2 linked regions of the Cricetulus griseus genome follow. The protein of the gene in region 2 interacts with the protein of the main gene of each other region in a biochemical or structural test. Links are inferred from orthologs where the notes say so. Each region holds a gene or a part of one and is shown on either strand. Other genes may lie near its edges.

Region 1 (11,311 bases), on a different chromosome or scaffold from region 2:
AAATTATACTTTCGTCTGCAGTGTCCTTGTAATCTTTACAGAAAGGAACAAATGCAACTGCTATGGTTTGGATAAGGACACATACACAAGAGGCCTAGTGGCCAACCGTTATTATCAGATGGGGCCTAGGAATTTAAACCATTCAGGGTGTGTTCTTGAAGGGGCGTGGAGTACCATTCTCTTCCTATTTTTTGAACTCGAAGCCACCAGAAGATGAAGAGACTGCCTCTGCTACTTGCTCATGTCATAACACACCGTGGTTCTACAGGCTCAGATTACCGAGGTCATGTGACCGCAGACTGAACCCTCTGAAATCTCAAGTGAAAGTAAACTCCCTTCATTCCTTATAAGTTGTCTTCTCAGACATTCTGTCACAGTCATGGAAAGCAGATTAACTTTTTCTGCATGGTCAATTCATTCATTCATTACAGAGACATGTATTCAAAATCAGCCACAAACATGGCCCCAGTCCTCTAAAAATTCAGATATGTGTGTGGCCGCTGCTGGTGGAAAGTTAAGCAGATAGTTAGGGTGTCACAGTCTATTGAGCTATATTTGGGAATGGGCTGCTGAACTGATCTGGGGATGTGCTGAGTGTGGGTAGAAACAGACAAGGCTTCCTATAATGGTTGAGCCCAGTTTTAACATCTAAATAAAGGTATTGAACAAAGAGCCAGAGAAAGGAAAGGGCAGAGAGAGGTTGGCACTAAACAGTGGTTCTCGACCTTCCTAATAGTGCAACCCTTTAATACAGTGCTCATGTTGTGGTGACCTCCAACCATAAAACTGTTTTCATTGCTACTTCATCACTGTAACTTTGTTACTGTTATGAAGCATAATGTAAGTATCTATGTTTTCCAATGGTCTTAGAGACCCCTGTGAAAGCGTCATTAGAGAACCACTGGTCTAAGAACTTCAGGTATTTTTAGCCATTGCAGCCCTAAGGATGATATAAGTGGGCATGAGAGGGCAGGAATGAAGGCCAGGAAGAGATGGGTAGCCAGTGTAACACAGAGCTTGGCCTTTTTGCTGTAATAATGAATGGGGATCCAGAAAGAACTGAACTCAGGTAAAAATCAAAGTGAGATGAGTATTTAGAAAAATATTTTCTTTTAACAAGTCTAACAAACATGGATGCTTTGGGGCATAGTGATTTATAGGAAATTATATTACTGGTGGAGAATTCATGAAGTTTTCTTTGCCTATAACCATAGAAGCCATCTAAGTTCTATTAAGGCAGAGTTTTGAGAATGAATTTTAGTAAATTTATATGATAAGGAAGATTAGCTATTTTAAAATATGAAAATAATCTGTAGCTAATGTAAATTACCCACAATAACTACACAAAAGAGAGAATTTAAAGACAAGCCAGGATATTCTGTGGTCTTTGAAATATTTCTTCACACATATCTATAAGAACACACTCAATGACTTATATTTAAGTGTGAATAGTTCTCAACAATAAGATTATAGATATTAATCTTTCCTTTAACTTACTTACATTTTATAATTTTAAACAATGAGTGATATTTTTTCAACAAGAAAATAAATATATACAGATATATTGCACCAACAGGCCCATCTAAGATACCCACAGGCCTGCTGGATTCCAATTGGTTCTCCATTACAATGAGCAACTATATGGTGGAGAAATAGGAGAGAAAGAGAAGCTGAGAGTTCATGTCTTAAGAAGAGAACCATAACCGAAGAAGCCAAGGCAGTGAGGAAGATGCTGATGTGGGTGGCCTGTGCTGCCACTTTCCGTGTGATGATGTCCAAGCCCAGGCTGCTGCCTGGGGTCATGTCTGGGTTTGTGGCCCCTATAGAAAGCAGCCAGGGGTCTGTGTTGACAAGGTTCCTGTTACTACCAAGGGCTATGCGGGTGCCTGCACTTGCAAGAACAACATATCTGGACTCTGGGAGAACAGGATCTCCACAGACTCCTTTGTGATAGATGACCACAGGGCTGACCTTAGTACCTTTGAACTTGCAGATGACATTTTGAGTGTGCACTTGATGATTTTTACAAAGATCTAAACCTTTGACAAAAGTCTCAAACAAATGTAATGGATGTGTTATTAAAAAATCCTAACAAACCACAGAACAAACTTACATCTTGGAACTTACCTACACATTTTTCATGCTCAATTTCTGAACATTATGCAGCTTCACTTGGGGCGTGTTCTCCTGGGGCGTGACCCACACCTTGGCACAGACTCTCCTGCTTTGGCAAACAGAGGAATAACATATGTTGGGAGATGTGGCAATCTTGCCAGCTGACCCCTCCCCATCCCTGGCAGCCGTGTTCCTTGGCTCTGTTATTTACATTGTTGGTGGGACTCTTCTTAGGCAGCCAGACACCCTCCTGTTCACTCCTGTGTCCATGAACATATTTTTCCAAAGGCAGAATATGAGTAAATTCTGGGTGGGCAGTGGTGGCGCACGCCTTTAATCCCAGCACTTGGGAGGCAGAGGCAGGCAGATCTCTGCGAGTTAGAGGCCAGCCTGGTCTACAGAGCATGTTCTAAGACAGCCAGGGACATACAGAGAAATCTCATCTTGAAAAACAAAAACAAAACTACAACAAAGATTAAGTTCTGTTTAAAAGGGAGTAAGGTACGGGCAGATTTATGGGCTTTTGTGTATATGGTTGAGTTTATTGCTACCAAGGAGGCTGCAAAATAATTAAAATGTATATTTTCTGAAGCTGTGAAAGAAAAGGGTACTGGAAACTTGAGATAATGAGCTTCCTTTCAGATTAGAACTTGGGCACAAAACCTAGATCTACCAATCAAATCTAGCATTGACCTTGAATTGGACAGTAAGGAGGTGAAGTAAGGACTGTATTGAAATGATTTGGGTGATTGTTGCCATTTTCTGTCTCCAAATGTGATATTGTGACAGTGTCTAGTATTTGGGGTGCAAACTGATGTTTACTGTCCAATGGTGGCTTGGGTGGTGATTCCCTAGCCCAGTTCTATCATGGCAGGAGTTACCCAGATGCTCCTACAGGCTGCTTTACATGTTGGCTCTGCTGTCAAGGTGCAGGTCCAGATAGTCTACATTTTCCATAAATCTCTTTCTGCTGAACCGACCTTAGCAAGTTTCCACTGGCTCTTTTCCTCCAACACTCCATGTACAAATCTGTTTCCACACCTTCCTCGTGTCCCCTCTTATTTTCCTTTGGAATGATACACTTTTAAATTTACTTTTTAATCAGGATATAACCCATTTAAAATCATTATGAGTGACTATAAGGATGGTTTATCCCTTAAGAGTGCTTGTCACTCAGCCTGATGGTCTGAGTTTGATCCACAGAACTTGCGTAGGAGTGGAAATATAAGTGACTCCCAGGAATGCCATCTGACTTCTACATATGAACTTTGTGGTGTGTTCTCCTCCCCCATAATAATAAAGTAGAAGAAATTGAAAAATCATTATGACAGATTCTCCTTTCTTGGAAACATTCAGTCACGGTGACTTGGGAGAAAGTTCGCTTGGTAAAGTGCTTGCCATGCAAGCATAGGGTCCTGAGTTCAATCCCCAGAATCAGAAAGAAAGAAAGAAAAGTACTCTAGCTGAATTGGTGAACTTCAGGATAATGAGATACTGTCTCATAAAACAAGGTGGATGTCATCTGAGGAATGACACCCAAGCTTGACTCTGACCTCCACACACATATTCACCCTTACACATGTGAGCACACACTGTGTGTGTGTGTGTGTGTGTGTGTGTGTGTGTGTGTGTGTGTGTATACGAGCCTGTGTGTGCGCATGTGGCAAATTCTTATACCCCATCACCTAACCTCAACACAGCACCATTTATTTATCATTGTCCATTTCCCCATTCCTTTGTGACTAGAAAAGGGAGGAAACAGTATAAGATATCTCACTTATGAGTAATTTGTGTATATCTCTGAGATAAGAAATTTAAAAAAATACAGTGATGGTGGGGGTGTGATTTAGTGGTAGGATGCTCGTCTATTATGAGGGGAGGCCCTGGGTTCCATCCCCAACAAAAACAAGGAAATCAACAACAAAAGCATATTGCCATTATCAGACCTAATAACATTATTCAATTTTGGCTGGTGAGTTTGTTGTAGTGAAGGTATATTTAGGGGAAATACCTCTTTTTCTCCATTTTCAAATAATTGAAGTGTAATTATATCTCAAAAAACTGATGGCCATTTTTTCTCTCCCCTATGTTTCATGGCATTTGTTTTTTTTTAAGACTGTAAAAACACTGGGACTGAAGAGATGTCTCAGTGGTTAAGAGCCCCAGAATTACCAAAATCAGAATTACTTTGGCAGAAAATTCCCAAGGAGGATTTACAGTGATGTTAGGGTCCCTTATCATTTTTTAAAGGAATTACTATGGCTAAAACATAACATCATAATGGGAAAAGTCACTGGTAAACTGTTAAAGATTCAGGAAATCACCTGGCATCCAGGCACGTGCAAACAACTTTAATTAAACGCTGTAAACTATTTAAAATAGTAGATGTGGAAATAGAACGGACTGTGTTGGGAAGAAGAAGGGCTTCACGGGGGAGTGGGAGGGAATAAGAGAGGGGAATGGGGGTTGGTCCTAATCAAAATACATTATATATACATATGAAATTCCTAAATAATAGATCAAAAATTACTTTAAAAGCTGAGATTTTATAATGGTGAGGACAGGGTGGCAGGTGGCATTGTAACAAGTAACCCTGTGAAGGTTTTCTGAACAGAAAGCAGAATGAGCCTAAAGAGAAGATGTAAGACGGGGGTATTTTAGCTGTATGTGTAGTCTGAAGACAACTCCAGCTCAGAGCTACACTTCAGAGATCTCTCTGGAAACTGTACTTCAATGTAGAAGAGTTTGGAAGTCTTGAATTTTCTCTCTCTCTTTTTTCTTTTTCTTTAAGCATGATCCTTTAGGTCTGGGCTTTCATTCACTGGCCTATGTTTCATTACCTTTTTTAGACTCCCAATGTAGCCAAGGGTGCAAGGTTGACCTTGAGCTTCTTTTTTATTTTATTTCTTCAAGACAGGGTTTCTCTTTGTAACAGCCCTAGCTGTCCTGGAACTAGCTCTGTAGACCAGGCTGGCCTCACAGAGATCCACCTGCCTCTGCCTCCTGAGTGCTGGGCTGAAAGGTGTGTGCTCAACCACCTCCCAGCTACCTTGAACTTATTTTCCTCAATCCACCTCTCTTAAGTGCTATGATTATAGGTGTGTGCCACCACATTGTTTTAAGCAGTGTTGAAGTCTGAACCCAAGACCGAATACATGATAGGCAAAGGCTCCACCAACTATACTATATCCCTGGCCTCATTGTAGCGCTAAACCTCAATTCTGATACAAGTCTGTGACAGCTCTCTCAGACCACAATTAGGCACAATATGCTTCTATCTATGTATACTAAGAAGGAGGTGCATAGCTTTTTTTTTTTTCAGGTTAAAAGATTCCCAGTGGGGGCTGGAAAGATGGCTCAGTGGATAAGAGCACTGGCGGCTCTTCCAGAGGACCAGGGTTCAATTCCCAGCACCCACATGGTAGTTCACTACTGTCTATAACTCCAGTTCCAGAAGACCAGACACCCTCACACAAACATACATACATATATACAAGCAAAACACCAACACACATAAAATAAAAATTATTTTTTTAAAAACGACTCCCAGTGGGCCATGAGATTCAGACAATGAAGAGGCCCAGTGTTTCTCAGTGTGGGACTCAATGACATTGGGCCAGAAAGCTTGCTGTCACGCACAATGTTTAGCATATGCGGTTCACACCCGATCAAATTCCTGGAATTGCTCCAAGCCCATCAGTTCCTCCTCCCTATTCTAGCACTGATAATGGAGGACCTGGATGAGATTAGAAGTCTAAATGCATGTTCCTTTCTTGATTTTCTTTCCCCTTCCATTATATCACTCCTGAAACCTAATTTCCAGTAGTTTATATATCAAAGAACATCTTGAAGGGTGATTCCAGATATCCTGTCATGTTATTGTTATTGTGAAGACCAAAAGAAGGTATTTGGGGAACTATATTAAGCTATGAAATTTTGGTAATTGCTACCTCAATGCAGTGTGCATTTTCCCCAAATCCTCAGTTCTCAACCACCCTCTCCAATTGGTAATCTTTCTGATAAGAAATTTTAAAAAGTGCTTCTTTGTGAGGCAAGAGATGGGAATGGGTAATTCCCAGGAGGTGCCCAACCACCCGTGTAGACTTCTTAGGACAATCATTTAATTTATTACTTCTGAAAGTGTAAACACAGGAAGAGATGCTAGTTTGAAAAGAATGTCTTAATCTGGGCAAAAGAAACAGCCAAAGTTAATGCTGTTCTTTGAGCAGCATTTTAATTAACGAGTTAATTAATTGATTAATTGTGTGGGTACCTGCATGTGGCTGTCAGTAGACAGCTTTCAGGAGTTAATAGTTACCTGCTTCCACGCAGGGGTCCCGGGGCATCAGTCTCAGGTTGCCATGTTTGTAGACAAGTACATTTATTTACGAGCCATCTTGCTTGCCCTGCAGTTTACCACATTGCCAGTCAATTTTTCTTAATTTGACCTTGCAACACCAACTCCAACAGGTTTCCTAATCTCTTCTTTTATAAATGAGGAAATTGAGGCTTCTGGGAGTCAAACTGATGTATCTAAGACTACACAGGATTTATTAGAAGAAATCAGGATTTCTACAATCTTAAACACCATTCTTAACACTGATGTCTCAAAGCACCTGTTTTATGTGAAATGAAGAACCCTAATGGAACTAATTAGAAGACAGGTCTACAAGTACAAATGTGTTAAAGTGCAGTCATTTAATACATTACCTAGCTCAGTGCCTTGAAGCTGCACGGGCTTGCAAAGTTAGGACAATCTCACTTGAACTCCCAGCCAGCTGAGAAATTGAAAGCAGACAGTGGCGAAGCTGTTTGGTAACTTGGTGCCTTTTAAAATGAACTGGATCCTCCAAGTGCTGCTTTGGATTAGAGGTAACTAATTGGATAAAAGGAAAGGAGCCTTTCAGCTGATGAAGAGTATTGTAAGAGCCCAGACTTGAGTGAGTTCCAGAAAAGGAACGCACAAGAACAACTTCTCCAATAATGTTCTCATTACAAAGGAGTAGTTTCCAACACTCAGTTTCAATTGAGGACAAGACGATATGTCGCTGCAGCCCGGAGAAGCTTAGGGGCAGCGGGGGGTGGGGGCGAATAGAAAGCCCTTTTATTTTAAAATGGGCTTTAACTCTGAAACTTTTCTAGTGCCAAACCCTGTAGTGTTTTATTTTTTAAATGAACCCTTGGCGTGCCCTCACAGATGTCTGAGCTGGGAGGGACAGTAGGAGACCAGGCTGAATCCGTTGTTATTAATATTAAACAGCCAGGTCTGTACCCTTGAAGCAAACGGGAGAGACGCGGAGAGGAGCTGCTGACATTGACAAGGAATCCAAACAGGACTTGCACTATCGGTACACACCACGTTGCCGCTCCCCGGCTCGGCCTTCTGGGAGTTGTAGTCTTGGAGGAAGCTGCTCTCCTATAGAGCTGGTAGGCTCTGCAGGAAGGAACTACAAATCCCAGGATGCATCGGGATCGGCCCCTCCCGCTCTGATGCCAGTGTAAACTCACCGCGCCGGGGCGGGCGGTCGGCTAGCGGGCTTAGCGGGGCACTGCGCAGGGCGCGTGGCTTGGGGGACTCAAGTGCCCCCCCCCCATCTTCGTCAGGTGCCGGGGTTCTGCTCCAAGTTCCAAGAAGTGGAAGGCGGGCAAGCGGGAGCCATGCAGTCAGAATCTGGGATTGTGGCGGATTTCGAAGTCGGGGAGGAGTTTCACGAAGAACCCAAAACCTATTACGAACTCAAAAGTCAACCTCTGAAGAGCAGGTGAGTGGTGACAGCTGGAGGGAGGCGCGGCTGGAGGCCCAGGGGCCCCGCGCTTGCTACCCTGGGACGGGAACAGCCAGTCTGAATAGCTGTGGGACAAGGACCCCGTGCCCTTGCCTTGGGGTACAGGGAGACTTGACCCCTGGCATCTGGGGTCCTGCTCTCAGAGACTTGCTCGCATCCTAGGGTGTCTGACAGACACTTCGAGGGCACCATGGCTCTCTTGGGATGGCTCATCCAGGCGCGGGGACCCTTGGCTGCACATGCCAGCTGCTGAGCTGAATGGGGGCTGGGGCTGTACCCTGCTGGCCGAGGTGGGGTAAGAGGAGCACCTGATACGGACCGTGACCTGGTGCTATACCCAGTGGCAGAGTTTTTTCTGAGGATCATAGCAGGCTGAGGGCTGGAGAGGGAGAGCTTGGAGTGGATGGAGATCCGATGCTCCAGGGAAGCAATAAACTGGCCTGGAGTATCTCCTTGTAGTTCAGCTTCTTTGGGAGAGACTGCTCCGGGTGGTACCTAGGTGAAGTTCACCGGGGCTTTTTCTGCCACCTGCCACCTGGGAGCATCTGTACCCCCCCACTCCCGGGGTGGGGGTGGGGGGCAGGCAGCGGGTGGGCGTGTCTCCCCAAGCTCTTAGGAATAGAGCTCCTGGCAAATGCAAAAAGAAGGGACAGAGGGAGACAAGGAGGGAAGGAGGGAGGGAGGACAGGAGGGAGGACCGGAGGGAGGGAGGAAGGAAAGAAGGAAGGAAAGAAAGAACGAAGAAAAGCTACTTCAGAGGCCTGTGGTGGTTGGGAATGATCTCTTTTTGGCTGCTACACAAGTTTAATTCCCCAGGCACTTCAAAAACTTTGGGACTTGAGTGAAGATGCCCTCTGGTCTGGTGCCTCCCACCTCTGTACACCTGCAACACCCTTATCCTTTGCATCATGGTCTATTGCTATTTGGCTGGCAGAATCGGTTATCTTCCCTTTTCACTCTCTTTGATCACTCTGGATCCCTAGCACTTCTTATTTGTGAGAATACAGAGAGGGGGATGGTCACTGAAATCTGTGATAGCCAAAGAAAGGCTTTATTTCCACCCCTTTCATTTGTGAGATGAGATAAGGCTGAGGTTGGAAGCATTATCACTTTGTCCATCAGTTGAGACTAGGGTCTAGGTGAGTTTCCCCTGGCAGAGGGGCAGAGAGAAAAGGAGGATGAGTCTTAACTCTGCTGGAAAGTGGAGCCAGGTTACTTTCCTTCAGGCCTGGGGCAGGACCTTGAATCCAGTTAGGCGAACAAACTCTGGGAAGAGCAGATGTCCCTGGCTGCCCTTGCTAAAGCAGGCTTTTTGCACATGCTTGTGGCAGAGTGGAAGGAAATGTGTTAGGCATTGAGATGCATTAACTTGGCCCTTCACTGGTGGCTCCTTTTATAATGGCTATTTTGTATGTGAACGTGGATTGTGTGTATTGGGTGCTCTGAGTGAGATTGTGTAAGGGGTATTGTTGGCTATGCTAGTTAGGGCTTTATCTGCATGTGGCTGAAGGGACCAGTGTTTTACTGAGCAGCCCCTGCTTTTGCTTCTATAAGCAAATGCTCACATGGCCAGAATGAGAGGGTGTGTGTGTGTGTGTGTGTGTGTGTGTGTGTGTGTGTGTGTGTGTGTGTGTGTGTGTGTTCCTGAAAGAAATGAATTAACTGGACTGTTTAGAACATTTATATGATGGGTAATACATTAAATGAGTTTGAGGGAGTGAGGAAAATATGCTTTGGAGAAAGCCAGTGAGTGCCCTGATACTTATGTGGAAGGATTTGGTTCTGTTCTTTGTCACAGTCAGGAGCTCATGTTCTTTGTAGCTAGCTAGCTAGTATGGGGAAAGAAAACTGTAGGTAAGTGGGCATAAAGAACTTCACATGTTGGTACCAGAAGCCAGGTAGGATGGAGGAGACATATGCTCTTTGAAATAAACCAGTTAAATAAAATCTGTGAGTAAGTATCTGGAGTGGGTGACATTTCCTTATACTGTTTATGACAGTTGTCCTAATGGTATTGTCATTTGCATATGTTTTGTAACCTTAAATGGGCTTCATGTGGTTCAGGGTCTTCTCCTTGTTTTTAATTTGGAGTCTTTACTGGGGCCCCCCTTAAGTCCTGGTTGGGAAAAAAGTTGTAATGAAAGTTGCAGACTCTTATAACAAGACCATTTATGTATTGTTTAGATCAGAGGTTCTCAACCTGTGGGTGTTGATGCCTTTGGGTTTGAATGACCCTCTCCAGGGGATGCATATCACAAAGCCTTCGTATCAGATAATTAAATTACAATTCATTATAATAGCAAAATTACAATTATGATGTAGCTACAAAAGTAATTTTATGTTGGGGGTCACCATGACATGATGCGCTGTATTAAAGGGTTTAATCATTTGAGAACCACTGGTCTAGAATGTTCCAAAATTCACCTATGTCTTGCCTATTTCTCTTCGGTGACACTGGCCAAGTCAGTGTCAGTCCTTGCCTGGGTTATTGAATCAATCTCTTAATTCTCTCAGCCTTGGCCACTTTTAGATTTTTAATTTAGCAGCCACAATAATCTTATTAAACTGATTTTCTTTTAGGGCTGAGAGCAGGAGTCAGCCAGTAAAGTGCTTGCCACAGGAATAAGAGTACCTGAGTTTTATTCCAAAAACCCACATGAAGATGCCAGGAATGGTGGTTGGCAGTTGTAATCCCAGCACTGGGGAGGTGGGGATGAGCTTGCTGCCAAGCCAGTCTGTCTGAATTGAAAAGCTACAGATGAAAGTGAGACTCTGTCTCAAAAAATAAGGTGAAGAGTGACTGAGGAAGGCACCTGAAGGTTGAGCTCTAGTCTTCGCATGCATATAAATATATTCACATAGACCATTCTCCACCCCCATACACAGTGTACTCATACATACATGTGAACATGTGTGCACACATATATGTACACCCAAACATAAAATTAAGTTAAAAATACCCACATGATTTTCAGTAAGAGATCAAATCTGTCTCCCTCTGGAGACCCTTAGCTGTCACTGTGGAAGAGAGCTGTGCTTAACCTTAAGCAGGTAGATTCCAGGGATGCGCTAACCTCTCTAAGGTATGCAAGACAGCTTTCAGCAAAGGATCACCTGGGCCCTGTGCTGAAACTCAAGTTGGACCATGCTGTTCTCTCTGGTCAAAGCCCTCCTCCGTAGTCCTTACTTTTCCTTATTCCTTCACATGGCACAAGGCAGCCCACGTAGTCAGGCTGCCTACCAGCTCTGACCTTAACCTCTTGCCACTTCTCATTCTAGGAAGAGCCCAGGCTCTTCTACCTCTGGACCTTTGTGAGTTGCACTTGCTTCTGCTTGGACCATCCTTTGCCTAGACAGCCACAGTACACACTACCCTACCAGCTCCTAACCTTTCCCTCACTGTCATTCTC
Region 2 (17,048 bases):
GGCAGCTGCCAAGTGCTCCCTGTACCTGGAAATAATGCACACATGCTTTTTCTGCCGCCACAGACAACACTGGAATGTTTTATTTTTAAACTCCAAGCCTTTCTCCAAAATCAAAGGGAAAATGATCCATAAAATCCCCATCTTATCCATGATATGTAAATGAAGAACCAAGGAGTCAGGGGGGAAAAATGGGAGTGCTCTGATTGCTCAAAAAAAAATGTTAACCTCATAAATCCAAATGGGCCTGCCTCCAGAATTAACAAATTCACCTTTAAAAACTCCACAGCTGACATGCTTGCGAGGCTCCATGGTGGGCCAGGTGGGCTTACTTGTGAAACTCTAGCTCTGCTAGTCATTCCAAAGTGTGTGGCTGGAGTAAAGACGGTGAGGAGAGTAAAGCTGGATTCAGGCCTGTGATGTATGATCAGTTTCAAACAGTAGGATTCAGCTTGCCTGTTATGCCTTTAATCCCAGCACTTGGGAAGCAGAAGCCCTTGTATTTCTGTGAGTTCGAGGCCCTATGTAGCAACACTGTGTCTCAAAAAAATCAAGACCAAGCAAACAACAACAACAACAACAAATGATTTGTTCCCACTTTGATTTAGTGATCTTGTGTTATAGAAATTACAATATCTTGGGTTGTTCTCATGACTTTCTGAATAAACAGACAAACAAAGCTCCCAGGGTCATTTGAAAAGACATAAACTGTAAATGCAGGGTTGGCTACTAAAGGGCTCCAGGATGGCTCCCTGGGATCCCAGAGTAATCAACATCATTAGAGACCTGGGCTATCTGGGGGAACAAAGGTAATCGCTCCAAATTCTTCTCAATTATGAGTCTTTCTCGACTTGGTAGCAGTGTAGTGAGGAGGGATCAGACAGAATAACAAGAGACTCTGAAGAGGAATTTTCCCACACCTTCTCCTGACAGCCACATAGGAATATTGCATAGAATTCACTTTGAAAATACACCCTGTGCTTGAGGGTAAAGAGGGAAAAGCCAGCTTACTTAGCTGAGAGAAATTAAACGGCTGGAATCAGAAAACTAAAATTAATTCATCAGGAAGTCAATCAGGCAGCCCCTTGCAGTACAAGGAGTCTCCTCCTTTAAAGGCTTCTAATGAGGCACAAGCCACAGTCACTCTTCCCTGTTTGTCTCAAAGCCATCCAACATCAGTATAGCAGCATTCAGGGGCTTCAAGGTTAGCCAAATCCACCTAAAGTCCTTTGTCCCATATGTGAACACTGACAAAAATCAAATCTTGGTTGTTTGTAAACCCATACAAAATCAGGGGTGGGAGATAGAACAGACACAGACAATGGTCTGAAGGACAAATGTGGACGAAGGAAGAGTCATCCAACAGAATCAAACCATTCTAAATAACTAAACATGCATGGTCATAACATGTCCGCGGGAAGTCCACGTTAAGAATAAGGTTAAAAACGCAGCTGAAAAGAATAAACACCTTCTCTTTCCCTGCCTGTGTCTCTCAGGATGATCACAAAGAACCACAAAGTTCCAAGTTCTCAGGATTCAGAGCTACTGTGTTCAGGGGCTATGGGCAGCAGCTTCCTGGCTCTCTGGTGCCACTCCCTCCGCAGGCATCAGAAGAGAAATGGCAGGCTTCTCTGGAAAGGTGTTAACCATTTGGGCTACAGGGGGGACAAATGGAAGTTTGATTCTCAAGATGAATGGCCACAGGCTAATCTTATCCCAACAGGGAACTTTCATATGTTAAAGAAGCTCAGCTCAGGATCCCTCTACACTAGGCTTGGACACCCAGCTCTACCACCGAGCTTAGAACACTAAGAACTGTTTCTTCTTGTTGCTTTAATATTTCAACATTGGCCTTATTTTCACAAAATAAGCTTCAGCGAAAGAAATATGCTTTTACTAAACTCTCTGGGGGTCCTGCCTCTGAAATATTAACAGGCTTGCACATTTTCTCATCACCTGTGCTTGAGGAGCCCGCACTGACACCAAGCAGTTGTCATGGCTGCCTTCTCCCTGATTGCTCAATTTACCTGAACTAAAACTTTGCATCGAAAATTGCAGGAGAGACTCATTCATAGATGTCTGATGTAGATACACTCCCTTTAAAGTTGCAGTCTCAGAAGGAGGTCCCAACTGAAACGACCTTGCAGGAGAAAAATTGGATGGGTGAAGGCAGTTCTCCTGAATAGGCACCATGATGCCTGGCCCGGCTTAAAACAGGAGCAACCGCATATGGTTATGATGAGATTTCAGAAGAGGCGTCCCTGTGTGTGCCACTTGGCCACAGCTGGAATTCTCAGGGCTGCAGTTAGACACAGAAAGGAGAGGGGTCCAGTCGATGGCTCTCTCACCCACAGATGGTCCTCTCCAGTTCTCACAGGCTAGCAGATGCAATAAACTAGGATTTGTTTGTGATGCAAATCCAACTCACAGGGAAGCCCCAACCCTAATGACCAAATGCAAATGGTCACCAGCTCCTGACACCCTCTAAGAAAGTCTACCATTGCTGATGTCAGTGACACAAACAATCCCACTGGGGGCAGAAGGAAGGAGGAAGAGAGCAAAAGTGTGGTTAGGGCGACGAAGAGAGACTGCCTTCCGGTTAAAGTGTTTTTGATCTCAAGAACACTACAAACAGCTGTTAGGTATTACAAACCAAAGATTGTAACTCACTTCAGTTGGACTCTAAAAAAATTGACATTGCCTTGTGGTTAAAACTGAAAGGCTTCTGGAATTGTGCAAACTGCAGGGTCTCTCAATAAAACATACCTAACGTGAGTGCATTTTAACATGCAAGAGGACTCAGCAGAGGCACCAGAAAATAGAATAACGGTTCTCTGAACACCATCTACACCTAGTGACATTTACTCAGCCCACAAATCCTCCCTAAGCAATGAATGGCTGATTCATGGGTCTCAACATTTGAATACACACGTAACAGTAAGTATCTTCCAGCCTATGGACATTTCAAAATGGTGCTGGAATATAAGGCAAGTAGGCAGGCATGCACACATGTGCAGATATACACACACACCAAAAGAGTACATTGGAAAAATCAGAGAAAAGGCTACAGAGACCTAAGACAGAATACTAGCTTAAAGGGAAAAGGATAATTGTCAATATTTGTAAGAGTTTTGCATAAATACCAGGAGGTTTATTACACCAATTTTCCCAAATTTCTTGTCTGGGGAGAGAAGCAGTCCTTCGCTCCATGAATAAACCACAAATCGGTGCAACTGTACACATGGGTAGAACAAACAGTTTTGGAAGTGAATTTCTATTACCAAAGCTCTAACTTGATATGAAAAGGTTATTTGTTGACCTTTTAGCTTTTCCACCAAATTTTCAACCGTTCCTTAACCAAAATGTCCCATTAAAAAAAAAAAAAAAAAAAAAAACGAAAAAAACTGTTTTAGAAAATCAGGTATGTTTGTCTTTCTGGCTCAACAAGTCTTCTGTAAGTTTTAAAACCCAGAAGCATTTAAGTATATGTTGGGGGTAATTTCTAAATAATGGACTATTGCTTTATTAGTTCATTCACATTTTAGGTAGAAGATCCTACACAATACACAGACATTAAATATCATCAATATTTGAAATGCCTTAAAATAATGGGATCATTCCTTGTAACACGAACGTCACAAAATCTCCAAGGTTTGATCCCAACAAGCTCCATTTCAACTGCGTTATAAAAACGAGAAAAACCGTATTCCCTACGGTTTTTAGTTTAGAGAGCCGTCTGAAATTTGTAGAAAAAAAAACGATCACGTTAAGTCTGAAATCACAAGGCCCACAGACTCCATCCACAGAGCTATCACTTTAAGCACTGAGGGCTTAGGCCATTAAGATGGCCACAAGCACTCAGGTTGGTTACCAGCCACTTCCTCTCTGCTTCTTCAGTGAACCCCCTGCTCTCAGATTCTGTCACTAAGGCATCAGTGACACCCCTTCCCCCAAGTGTTGCTGACTTCTCAGTTTGGAGATGCTTTGAGTCCCACTGAGACTGTAGATTTGCCCCCAAGAAGTTACTGAGACTTTACCACTGGACTTGAGTGGTGAAGGAATGGGGCTGGGAACAGGTTGAGATGACCGCCCTCTGCAGCTTCCTAAGAAGCTCCAGTATGTTCAGTATATTCACCAGTACAATCGTGTTCACGTCCTCTAGAAGCTACCATTGAGATGTTTTCTGGAGACATAGGCACAGTCTCCACCCCCCACAGCCCCCACACGCAAGGGAAATAGCACCAAACAACAAACGTGAAATCCTTTGTAATATTGAACACACCAGCATAGTGTACTTGTATGACACTACATTTTTTTTTTTTTTTTACAACTTCAAGTCTTAACTGATTAAAAATAGCAACAACTTTCACTACATGGTCTTCAGATGAGATTTTCCCAACTGACAATGAAGTGAAAATGGCTCATCTGCCTTCCTTATAAACAATAGCTAATATAATAAAACAAGTAATTTTCAGAAGCCAAAATAACAGTCTGGAATATCTAGGTCCAAATGAGCCTCTAAGCAGATTAGGGCTTTGAAAGCTACCTGGCCCTTAGTTAACTGAAAGATTCAATCCACTTCCCTCCCATCAGCAGCATGGAAACACAGCACTTATGAAAACCATAGACTTGTTGACTTGGCTCCATTTGGTTTCATAATACGTGACCCTCTACTCATTTGCCTCAGCACGTTAGCCTAAATTTAAGAATCCAAACGGGAGACATAAAGACAGCTCTGTTCTCAGGCTGCCATTCCTTATACAGCTCTTACCAAGTGATGAACAGTCACATAAAATGAAGGCATTGCCAGTGTGTTTGAAGAAATAGGCATTCTGTTGAAACACAAATTAATTTGCACGTCTGAAAATAATTTTCAACATCAGCATGTTACTCACTGTCCTCGGGATGGGTGGAGAAAGAGATCCATTTGACATGTATGGGTCACTATTCATATTTGGCATCATTATGTAGCCAGAATAACTGGAATAGGAGGGCCCCTTGTTGTACAGGCCTCCATCTGGATGCTTTCCTGGAGAATAAAAAAAAAAAAAAAACAAAGATGCACAGACTTTCCTTTTATATCAAACTATTATCATCAGAAAATCTCTTGCTTCTAAGACAAGCCAGAGTTTACATAAAATATTATAAAATATAAAACTGGGTTATTATGTTCTACTTTAGATTGACAATATTTATGCTCTCCAATGGCTTAACAGCAAACCAGATGTTTAAAAAATATGTGGTTCAATTTACTTACACTACTGACTGATGTTTTTACAAAAATAAATGTTATTCATCCAACTTAATTTGTTCTAATGCTAACAAACTGGACTGAGAAATACAGAAACACAAGGGAACACACACAAACTTAAAATTGAACTGTTAATGTGTGAGGTCCTCTACCCCACAACACATACACATTTCTACATTTGAAGTCTCCTTCTTTTAGACAAACTCGACAATTCCACCTGTACTTCTGGATTTTTACCAAATTCTAAAGGAGAAAACTGGATCTAGTGTATGGCTAAAATCCAAATTTGTAGTGAATTAACCTTTGGAAGAGCTAATTTCATGGCTAAACTTACGTCAGTCTGACAAAGAAATGTTCCTTGCCTTTTAATCTGTATAACTACTTGTTGCCAAGAAGGAAGGCTGATATACAGCTCTCTCCCTGCCCCTAGGTCGACACACTGAATGTACAAACATTCCATTCTAGACAGGCCAATTGTTAAGTAATTGAAGGAGACCAGAAATGCCAACTGAATGACAACTGAACCCTATGGTGATCTGATTAAATTTAGAATGAGCAAGGAAGGTTTGTGTGTGAATGTTTTTTTAAAGTATTGTCAAGAATCAGCAATGGGGGAATTGTCTATCATCTGATAGTTGTAGCTTCTAATATTTGTTGATATTTTAGAAGCTAGGCTCAGTTTTACTGAGCCCTGATCAATCATCTGTCCACACACTGCCTTCCTTCTCCTCTGTACTGAGAAACTATACACAGCAATTTTGCAAATGAAGAATTCTAAATTATTACTGCTGAAAAATACTGCTCAGAAACAACCCTTCTTCTCTGAGAATCCGGAAGCCAGTGGAAACCCAAAGGCCCAGATTCATTCAGGGACTGGTTCTAAACCATGTGGTATACACAATGAGAGAGAGACTGAGTTTCTGGGCTTTCTTTCTGGGCTTTCTATTATGTTGAAATGGGACAGAGGTGGGCACAGTCTTGCATTATCTGGTCCCAGCCTACTGAACTCAGATGCAAGCACCACAAGCAGATTCTCAAATTGCACATGTCCTCTGATAAAGCGGGGAGAAAGAGAAATCCAGCTTCTTACCATCATCAGGGTGTTCTCTGGCCTTGTCGTGGTAGGACTCCTGAGAGGGCTGTGCTTGTCTGACCACCTAAAGGTATGGGTAGCCACCCCCAAAAGAAAGAAGAGCATCTTAGAGTTTCTAACAGTTTCAGTGTGTCTGCTGATAATTCAAAGAAAGACATTTAGGTAAAACTCCATCTGCCCGTTTGGTTAAAAATTAAGGACAGGCTAGGCTTGATTGAGTACAGGAAAGCTTCTTTTCAAAGTGTATTTCTGAGTGATTTTTAAGTACTCCAGATCAAAGGGTAAAAATGGTAGCAAAGAAAGAAAGAAAGAAAAGAAAAGCGAATTTGGGGATGACCTGTCCTGCTCTAACAACCCAACTTCTAGGATGTATCAGCCTCTTTGGCTTTGGTTCACACTGACAGGATTTGATTAAATGCCACCAGGATATTGTAACTGAAAATGAGGTCTGGAAACGTAAACAAAACAACCCACTTTGCTGAGGTCTTAGGGAAATTGCCCAAGAGCAGTCCTGGCCGGAACTGCGTTCACTTACAACTTAAAAGTCTGAATGCTATGAGGCTATCAGAGTCGAACTGGTCTGTGGTTAAAGGGAGGGAAAATTGAGAGTCGGGTTACAGACATCTAAAAGGTAGCCCAGTTAATATCAGTTTTGGTAAGCGCCACCGACCCGACTCAACCACGTGCAAATCAGTGGTATCAGTCAGTGGGTCTCCTTGCTTCACTTCCACAGCGGAAGATGGACAGTTCAAACTCCCAACCCCAGTAGTTCTCGGTTTCCAAAGCACTGCTGTTCTCCTCGGACTAGCAAACCCTGGAAACGTGAGGTGGCTGGAAATCTGTGGACTACTCTATTGGAGGCCACTCTACCGTACCAAGTCCTCGAGTTTAGGAAGTATTTGATTCTTTGAACCTGTGTCCTCCAGGCGACCTCATCCTTCGGGCACACAGAGACTTTTTTTTTAACCTCATTGACTGCACCCAAGCCACCCTCCCCTACTTTTTGCTGGACTTTGGGACACAGAGCCCCCTTATGGCGCCCCCCCCCCCCCGCAGCCTTCTCAAATGCGTACTCACCCCTGCCATCGGGACAGAGAAGGTAGGTAACTCTGAGGTGTTCTTAAAGGTACTCTTTAAACCCAAAATGTCCCCGCCCCCGAAACCACCCTTCCTTTGGGGTGGGGGCAGAAGGCTGCCATTTAAGGAAAGCGGTATACTCTCCAAGTCTCTCCGGGAGGAAAAAACGTTGGGGGCATCATTTGGCTATCAACTTTTCTAGTGGATGTCCCCACTAGACAGGCTTCCCCAGCTGCTGGGCCAGAGCGGCCACTGAGGTGTGGGCTTGGGGGGATCTACGCCCATCCGATGCTCGCGCGCGGCCCGGCTCTCTGCTCTCTCTCGAGCCGGCACCCACGTGGCTCTATTTACTCTACTCGGGTTACCAGCGCCGTCGCCTGCAGCTGGCCCCGAGATCTGATAAAGCGTGTCCCTCCTCCCCAGCCGCGGCCCGGCTTCCGCTGCTGCCGAGCTCGCCTTTCTTCTGCAGAGATCCAAGGCCTGCCTAACCCCAAATAAACGCCTTTCTTTCCACTTTAAGTGCCGGGGTTGCGGGCGGAAGGACTGCGGTGGCTATGCTGTTGGGTGGCTCGGGTCGGCTCGCCCACGGCTCCCCGCAGCAGCCTCGCCGGCTGTGGGGACCCGGCCCCGCAACGCCCCCACAGTTGGGGCGCGCGCCCTACTCCTTGGCGGTTGGGACGGCCCCTCCTGGCCGGCCCACGCCCGCCTCTTCTTCCTCCCGCCTGAGGCTCCGCTCCTTGGAGCCTCGGTGGTTTAACGCACTTTTGCACACTGTACCAAGAGAGCTAGCGGATGCACTTTGTGTTCTACCCCAGGACGAACTTCGCAGTTGTGTTTAGACATCCCTGCTTTTAAATGCGTGGCGTCCCTCAGCCCCGCCGAAACGTCGGAGGACGAAACAAGGTCGGGTAAAGGCCAACGTTTCCTGCCCAGCCACCGCCGTTTAGCCACAGACCCACTTGGAATACATTTCCCTGCCCGCCGCTCACACACGTGCGCACCGTGGACCAGGGCCGTTATTCCCCGCCCAGCCCGCGAGGGACCTGGGCGCAGCGGCCAAAGTGGCCGCGCGCTCGGCTTGCTTCCTCCCTGCGTCCCCTGAACCCGTCACGCCTCTCGGGATAGCGGCCACTCACCTCATGCCCGTTGCTGGCTGGGATGATTTCGGACTCGTTAACCAAGGATGACTTGATGTCGGCTAAGTCACCCTCCTCCTCGGGGTGACTGATCTCGGCAAAGATCTTCTCCTTCTGGGGATCACCCTCATCCTTGAAGGGGATCATCTCATCGGTGGCGCAGAGTTCCGGGTCCCCTCCGCCGCCTCCTCCAGAGAGTTGGGGCATCCCTGCGGCTCTGTAATCTCCCGCTCCGCTGCGGGAGCACTCAGCGACGGCAGGAAGAGGGGGTCGATGGGTGGGTGGGTGGGGTGGGTGAGAGTTGGAAGACCGAGTGTGGGAGGACTATGAATGGAAGCGGGGTGGGAAAGCGAGGGGCCCGCAGCAGGAGCGGCTGTGATTGCAACGCTTTCCCACTTAGAAGGACGCGGGCGCCCGGCCCCGGGGCTAAGGGCACCAGACTGCGAGGGCGGCAGTCGCCGGCGCCTCTGAGAGCGTCTGCGGCGATCCGCGTGCGCTAGGCTAGGCTGCCAAGGCCGGGTGGCCACGCCGCCTTGCTGGGGTCTGTGCGCCGAGAACACGGGTTCCGGAGGGGGCACGACTTTCCAAAGTGCAGAGGAGGGTCCCGTGACGCGTCACCGTGCAAAACTTCTCCACCGTGGATTCCTCGGATGCCGATTACGGAGTTGTTTTTTTCGAGAAGCTGAGAGCTGGGCCAAAAGGCTCCGTTTGCCCCAGCAGAGGTGCGAGGAGAATCAGAAAATACCGAAAAGTCCACTTCCTGATGGGTAAACAATAAAGAGCCACCCGGGCTGCAGACGTCCGTGTTGGAGCTTCTTTCCTTCCCTTTCGCTTCGGTTTTCCTTCTGGAGGAGCATTTAATCTGCTGGGGGGAGGGGGGACGGAGGAGGAGGGGAGAAAAAGAGAAGTTTGCCAAGAATAAAGTTTGTGCTGATGAGCCCTGGGAATCGACAGTGGCTGGCACGGCGGAGTCTTGGGGAGTCACAGCAGGAGCCTCGGGCCCAAATGTTCCAGCCCTCAGCTTGGGCCGACACACACACACACGCACACGCACACACACACACACACACCACTCTCACACGCACACACACGAGCCCGATCCCTCTTTGTTCCCGGCTCGAGTTTCTGCCTGGCTCGCTGGCGTTGTTACTCGCCTCTTTCCCCGCCTCCCCTCTGTCAAAGCAAAGAGCTGCCGGTGGCCCCTCGGCTCCTCCAGGCCGCCAGGCGGGGAATACCCGCAGCGGGGTCGCTTGCAAGGCTCCGGGTGAGTCCGGATGCCAGGGCCCACAGGAGCGCAGCCGGGTCCCTCTGGTGCGCGCTGGCCAGCAGGTGAGCGGTTGCGCCTTCCCACCGCTTCTCCTCGCCGCGCCTAGCCGGCGCTGCAAAGCTATTCACTTGCGTCGCTTCTCCTCCCCCGCCCCTCCCCCGCCTCCTGCTCTCCTTGGCTGCTGGCTGGAGGGGTGGGGAGGAGGGAGTCGGCTAGGAGGAGGGGGAGGAGAAGGAGGAGGAGGAGATCCAGGTTCTTCCCCAGCTCTAGTACATTTCCCAGCACCTAGAGGACTAGTCATAGTTTTGGGGGCGCAGTGGGGGTGGGTGCGTGTGTGTGTGTGTGTGTGTGCGCGCGCGCGCGTACTCGGGTGCATGCCTAGAGAGAAAAGAAAAATGCAACCTGGAGAAGGACCGGGTGCTGCTTGTAACCCACCCAAAGCACGCTGTTGCCCAGGTGAAATTGACAAGAAACTCTACCTGAGTGGCTTAACTTCATCATCTAAGCATCTCTTCTTTCTCTTGCCCCCCCACCCCGACTCATGCCCTTAGCCAGCCTCTCTCCCACCTCCTTTCCGCCGCCCACTCTAGCCCCCTCACTCAGGCAAGGGGAGGAAGATGAAAGAGAAAGCCGCCGGCGCTGTGGTCGACACCACGTTGATAGATGCTCTGACAGAGGGAATGAGGCGAGAATTAGGGACTAGGAGAAGGAAAAGGAGAAAATGCAACTCATTGCTCACCTAGCCAGAGAAGAGACGCAACAAGCACAAAAAAAAAGAGTTGTGGCTGTGTAGTGTGTGTATAATATCATACGCTCTTCGGAGACAAGGGAAAATACAATCTCCAGGCTTGCCAGGGCGAAAGGACCAGGAAGAAGGGAGCGACTGAAGACTGGACCTTAATTATCGCTTTTAAAACACTATCGCTTTCATTGTGTCCTTACCACCGGATGGACGTGGGTTTTCGGCTAAGCAAGACTCAGTGTGTAAGAGACCTCGCAGAAAATGAAAATACATCCCAAAACGAGGGGAAAGAAGGATCTAGAAAAGGGAGACATGACTGCGCGATTGCTGACATCCTGGACAACAACGCTGAAAGGGACCCTTGACGATGTAAATCCGAATCCAACCTCAAAAATTCCCCACTTTCCACGGTCTCTTTGATGCATTTTGCAAAAGGATAGGACTTTTGAGGGAGACGCTTTGTGAAAGTTACTGTGTAAGTGAGTCTTAAGTTGGGAAACATTACATTTTGTCCTTTAGTTCTCAACCCCTCCCCTCAGTCAAATATTCGGGCAAAATGATTACACCAATGCGGTAGCCATCTGTAAAACCTGGGAACAGTAAACAGGAGACGGGAAGAACTGTATCTCCATCTTCCTTGAGTTGAAAATAGAACACAGAAGTATATGTTAGTGCCATTACATAAGACCGCTCAAGCAAAGATCTCTTTTAAAGCTGAAATTGTGGGCTATTGGACATTGTAGACTTTAACAGTTAACTAAGCATTTAAAGCTTTGCTTTCTGATAACTACCAGTCTGGGAGCTTGCTAGGAAATAGTTTTTAAAGCTATATATCTATATTATATCAATTCAGTTGGTCCCATGGGTAATAAGTAATTAATAGGTAATATGTCCCAGTCTGTCGTATGTAAACTGATAGATTTGGGAACAATTAAGAGGCTGGTGAAAGAAGCCAGAAAAACGAAAACTTTTTTTAAAACTAAATAATCGATAAAGCTATGCCTTACATATAAGAAAACCAAAAATGGCATTTTACTTCAGGGTGTCAGGGAGAATAGTAATGAGGGTTGGAAATGGATCCATTTTTTATAGTGATGGCATGCAACCTCCATTGCTGTTAGTGTGGTAAACGAGGAGAGGGGGACACAGTTTTAGACATCTACAGCTCCTGCTACATAAAATTTAACAAAGTCAGAATTCCTCCTCTGAGTGCGCCAATTGGACTGAGCAAAAGAACCCTGGAAGATGCAGTTTCATCAAAGCAGCCGGAGTAGATCGGTCCTTTTCATCAAACCCAGAGGGGGAGGGGGCAAGAAGAATGGCCAGAGGGTATTTTTTGAAAGCCAAGAGGAGATTAAATGAAGACTCTACATCTTCCCTGTTTAAGTGTTGCAACTAATTCGAATTCCCATTTTCTCCTTCGCGTTAATTATCTGGACTCTGTGAGTCATATAGAGCTCAGCTCCAGGTGTCCCGGAGATTAGGAGCTCAAGAAGATGGGAAATTTTGGCTCAACACCTAGTGAGAACGGTTTACAAAAAAAACTGGGATAGGTGGCTGCGTTTGGTACCTTGCTGTAACCCTCCTTGGAAACATTGGTTCTAACGAAATCACCTAATGGCCTCGCTCTATACGCGTGGCGGTGAGTGGTCTCCCCGGTGTGCTTGTTGTCTTTAGCAGTGTTGCAAATCTTAACTAAGGCCACTCTTAAAACCATGTGTTCACATGTTTTAAAGCGTGGTCGGTAAAGGAAGGTGACTTTGCCTTGGTCAAGTCTTTAAGAGAGAAAAGCAAGGAGATAAAGGAGGGGCGAAGTAACCCCAGGAAGTGGTGTCTCTGGACTTCGCCTTCCTGGCAAAGGCATTCCAGCCGCCTAGCAGTCTATCCTAATTCCTGTGGGGCTGTTATTAGCATAAGCAGCGGCTTCTTCGCTTCTTGGGGTCAGGCGAGTGGGATCCCAGATCTGGGATGTGATGGGTGCGGTGCAGCAGCAGCCCCGCCGCCCCCTTTCCTGGGATGCAGAGGCAGGTTGTTCGTGTGAACTCTAGCGAACCACTGGAGGTTGGCTGTAGTAGGTTTACTCCCCTTCAGGATGTGGGTTTCAGGGGGCGTTTTGATGTGATTTAATTCCGACCGTGAAACAATTGCTGGGGGCTGGCTGCCTTGCTGTTGGTTTTTTCCCCTCCTGGTGGCTTTGGGTTTAGTTTTGGGAGCGAACTTGTTTTATACCAACACTTCCTTTGGCATAAGGCGCTGTCGCCGGTGCTGTGCCTCTGAGTGGGGATGGAGAAGGGGCGTGTAGAGGGGGTGAGGCGCCTAACCCCAGCCAGAATCCAGGCTTCGGGGAGCAGAGTTGGCCGAACTGCCCCGAGGTGAGCGTAGCCCAGTGCGCCGGGAGGGGGGGCGGGATAGATAGGAGAAATAACACACACCAGAAGCCCCCCCCCCCTTAGCGTTTTGCAGCCAAGAGGAGTCCCGCTGCAGACGGTCCAGAGTCCTTAATTACAGGGATGAGAAAGCGCAGTGCCCCCGCACAGTCCTCCCCGCCCCCTAGGTCCTAACCCCAGCCCAGGCTCCGGGTCTTCCCTTTGTGTGGCCTAGACTCTCTGCCAGCTGCAACCTAGGTGGGATCCCAAAGGAAGGAGGTGGCGGGGCCTACGGAAGAGGATGCTCTGAGAGACAGGCGAGAAGGGACTAGAAAAACGAATTCATGCGATTCCAGGGGCGGAACCGAGACTCCGGTTTCCCACCCCAGCTTCGGCAGGAGGCTCAATCTGTGGGCACCTTCAGTTTAACCGACGTCACGGGGAAGGGGGACAAGGGAAGTGGCAGTTTGTGTCCCAGGGGCTCTTCCGCCTGAGACAAACAAACCCAAAGCCCCTTCCTCCAGGGCCAGGGAACTCGTGGGACCGTGACAACCTCCTTCTCCAATCCGGCGCCCAGAGACGCCCGGTTTCTGCGCGGCCCGCGTCCGCCCGTTGGCTTCTGTAGCTCGACGAGGCCTCCCGCGGTCAGCCCTGTGCGCCCCCCTCTTAGGGTGGAGGGAGCCCCATCCACTCTGCTTCGTGAGATGACAACTCCGGGCTGGAGTGCCAGCCCCAGCGCCGGGACAGCGGCGCGGAAGGGTGGCTGAGGAGAGACGGAGGAGGGGACGGGGGGGGGTAGGGGGGTGGTCGCAAGGCAACAGAGTGAGTCAAAGGGGGTGCAGAGGTTCAGCTCTGCACCAGGAACTCGAGATCCCCACGCCAAGAGCGCGTGGCATGGGGAGAGGAGGGATGCTGCACATGGACTTCGGTTCTGGAATACACGTGCCAGCCGGGGAACCGCTAGTCTGGGGGGCTCAAACATCACATTCTTTTCTTTCATTTCCCAAAACTTTTCTCTCTCGCCTTAATGTGGCGTGGGCACGGGCTTTCTGGGAAGCACGCCCCTTCGGCCCCTCTCTCGGTCCCTCTGCCCCCTCCGTGCGCCCTGGAGCCGGACGCGCGCAGAAGGGCCGCCCGCGTGCGCGGGGCTCGCCTTATATCGGCGGAGGGCGGCGCCTGCGCAGGGCCCGGCGCGGCGGCGCGGCCTTTGAAGTCGTGGCGGCTGCGGCTTTCATCCTTTCTTTTTTCCCTCTCAGGCCCCTTTGTGTGACTAAATTTGGCAAGAATATGGATCCCAGCCAGTCTTTCCACGTGTGCTCCCAGCTCCCAGCTGAGAAGGCCAAGGGTTCTCTTCCGGGTAAGGAGACAGGGAGAAAGATCAAAGAGTTTGGGGAGCTGGATCTGAAATGTGAATTGAAAATAAAAATCAAGCCTGGACACATTCCAGTTTCTAAAGCAAAACCAACCCTCTGCAGAGGCCATCTCGCTACAGCGCTCTTTCTCTCTGCTCCCTTTTGCTCCTTTTTTTCCCCCCTTCTCGAAATCACTAGAGCACATGGGATAAAATAAAGACAACATAGGGAAGCACTTAGATTCTCCAGATTTTGTTTTGCAGTAATTTTATTAGGGAAAATATCTTGTTCATAATTACCGTTATGTGAGGCCAAATTTCTTCAGCCATAAATATTGTCTTCTTCCAGCATGCTTCACACTTTCTTCTGTGGCCACATTTTTTTGAGAGAGACCGCTGACACAACACGTACAGTTTGTGCATCCTGCTTTTTAACCCCTCTACACATGGTCACGGTGCACCGCCTGTTTCTTCCCCTGAGATTAGATTTTGGAAAACTGATGTTAATAGCATTCTTAATCGCTTTCCCAGTAGGTCTCTGTGGTTTGAAATGGTCCGGTTGGTGGGTCTACTCACATGTTTCAAACACGAGACTCCACAGAAACGTTTCTGTCTACGGTGAAAAGCCTGTAAGTTGTCATCTCTGACACACTGCTTGAATGTCTGTGCGGAGACATTTTCCTAACAGTGTGATGCAGAAGCAGTCATCCCAGGTCCAAGACAGGCTCAGCAGGGGGTGAAGGTAGGTAGGGCATCTGACCTCTTAAACGCCTCATTTTCTCTGCAAAGAGCTGTGCAAAAAAATGTAAGCTATTAGACCAGGATGCAAGATGCTTCTTTAAGGGGGGAAAATCTGTTAATTGCAAAACCAAAATGAATAGAGCCCTGGGAACTATTACCACAGAGGAGGCAAGCGTGACTATGGGAATAATGAATCCATGGGGAAAGTACTTGGAAGAACAGAAAAATTCTGACACAGTGGTGGGAGGAGGTACTGGAAGGTATGCAAGAGGTGTTCTGAGAAGCAGTGTGACTCTCCCCAGCATCTGTGTTTTAGAATACCATATCACAGGCCGCAGCGTCCCAAGTTCACAGTGCAGTGAAGGAGGGGACTAACTTGGTGTGAAATGACAGGAGCAAGTGTAGCACTTAGGGCAGTTAGTTCTTGTGAGATATTAACCAACAAAAGTCGCCCCACCAAATAGAAGCAATTTTTTGGACTGTGTCTCAGCATAAACTCTTCAAAGTTACCGATTGGTGACAGTGTAGTCGGGATGGGAGTGTGGGTGCTGCTCTTTCCTTTGCCCTGAAGGGGGACTTCCAGGGCAAAGGAAACAGAATCCTGAGATACTCAGCTTTCAGCTACCTTCTACTAACAGTAACACCCAGCTTCCCCATGTGAAGGGACACCACAGCAATTTGGGTTGATTGACACTTAGGAGGCAACTTCTATTTATATAATCTACCTTTCCATAAAAGTCACAGGTTAGAAGTGGGTGCCAATCCAGATAACTGGTCAACGGCACCCTTTTTCCTTTTTTCCCTTCTACCTTTCCCTTCTCTTCCCCTCCCCTCCCCTTCCTTCCTTTCCCCTTCTCTTTTTTGACTTTTTTTTTTTTTTTTTTTTTTTTTTTTTTTTTTTTTTGAGACAGGCTTCTCTGTGTAGCCTTTGCTGTCCTGGGATTCACTCTGTAGCCCAGGCTGGAATTGAACTCACAGAGATCTGCCTCTGAATGCTGGGACTAAAGGTGTGCACCACCACTGCTTGGCTATTCTTATATTTCTTTACAAATGCAAACTTTTTATAATTTATTTTGTGTACATTGGTGTTTAGTCTGCACATGTATGCTGGTGTGAGGGTATAGATCCCCTGGAACTCAAGTTACAGACAGAAGTGAACTGCTGTGTGGGTGCTGGGAATTGAACCCAGGTCCTCTGGAAAGAGCAGTCAGTGCTCTTAATTGCTGAGCCATCTTTCCAGCCCCCATTTTCTGTTTTTTGTTGTTGTTTTTGTTCGTTTGTTGTTTTTCAAGACAGGGCTTCTTTGTGTAGCATTGACTACCCTGGAACTCGCTCTGTAGACCAGGCTGGCATCGAGCTAGCAGAGATTCCCCTGCCTCTTATTCTGGGATTAAAGACGTGCCATCCCTGCCTGGCCTTAGACACCAACTCTTTAAAACTTTAGTCTTGGCCAGAGGAGGAAAACCAGCGAAGCACTGAGGACTCTGTCTCTATCTTGTTTGAGTGGGCAGTGGGGAGGCCCTGGAAATACTGAAAACAACAGCAACAAAACTGGGTCTCCCTTTAAGAAAAGAAACTCTGAAGAAGATAGAATAGCTAAGGGATTTACTTCCTGCTGTAAACCTGATTCTTCAGTGGACCTGGTCATGGGGGAGGGGCTCCTGAATTCTGGTAAATGTGCCTCCCAAGACGGGCAGCCTTGGTTTGTATTCCAGGGCTTCCAGGGCTCTGTCAGCATTGGGCAAGCCCCTAATCCCCGGTTTGAAGCTAGAAGCCAAAGCCACAGCCTTCCTGCCTAAGGGCAGCAGTGGCACCAACTGAACCGTAGGGAGATTAATGCAGAACAAGGTCATTAGTCTCATTGTCCACCCAGTTCCTCCCAGCACACACTGATAGGAATTTCACCTACAGGGACTGCAGCCTGCCTTTGATGTGTCTGAGCTATACAGTGCAGTGTTCTGGGAAAGTGCCTGAGTGACAGGCTCTCCATCCAATGCCTGGAAAACATATCTCCACAGGCACGGCCC

Evidence for each region.
Region 1: the proteins of Lef1 (region 2) and Mitf form a complex in vitro, tested with the Homo sapiens proteins (2 studies listed by BioGRID). The link is inferred for Cricetulus griseus from reciprocal best matches to the Homo sapiens genes LEF1 and MITF.

The regions. Positions count from the first base shown.
Region 1 is NC_048601.1:46,120,839-46,132,149, reverse strand, and holds the start of Mitf (microphthalmia-associated transcription factor), read left to right. Parts: upstream 1-7,617; 5' UTR 7,618-7,773; coding exon 7,774-7,877; intron 7,878-11,311. UniProt on the Homo sapiens protein: Transcription factor that acts as a master regulator of melanocyte survival and differentiation as well as melanosome biogenesis.
Region 2 is NW_023276806.1:27,801,770-27,818,817, forward strand, and holds the start of Lef1 (lymphoid enhancer-binding factor 1), read right to left. Parts: upstream 8,762-17,048; coding exon 8,555-8,761; intron 7,428-8,554; coding exon of another isoform or gene 7,419-7,427; intron 6,406-7,418; coding exon 6,339-6,405; intron 5,027-6,338; coding exon 4,893-5,026; intron 1-4,892. UniProt on the Homo sapiens protein: Transcription factor that binds DNA in a sequence-specific manner. Participates in the Wnt signaling pathway. Activates transcription of target genes in the presence of CTNNB1 and EP300.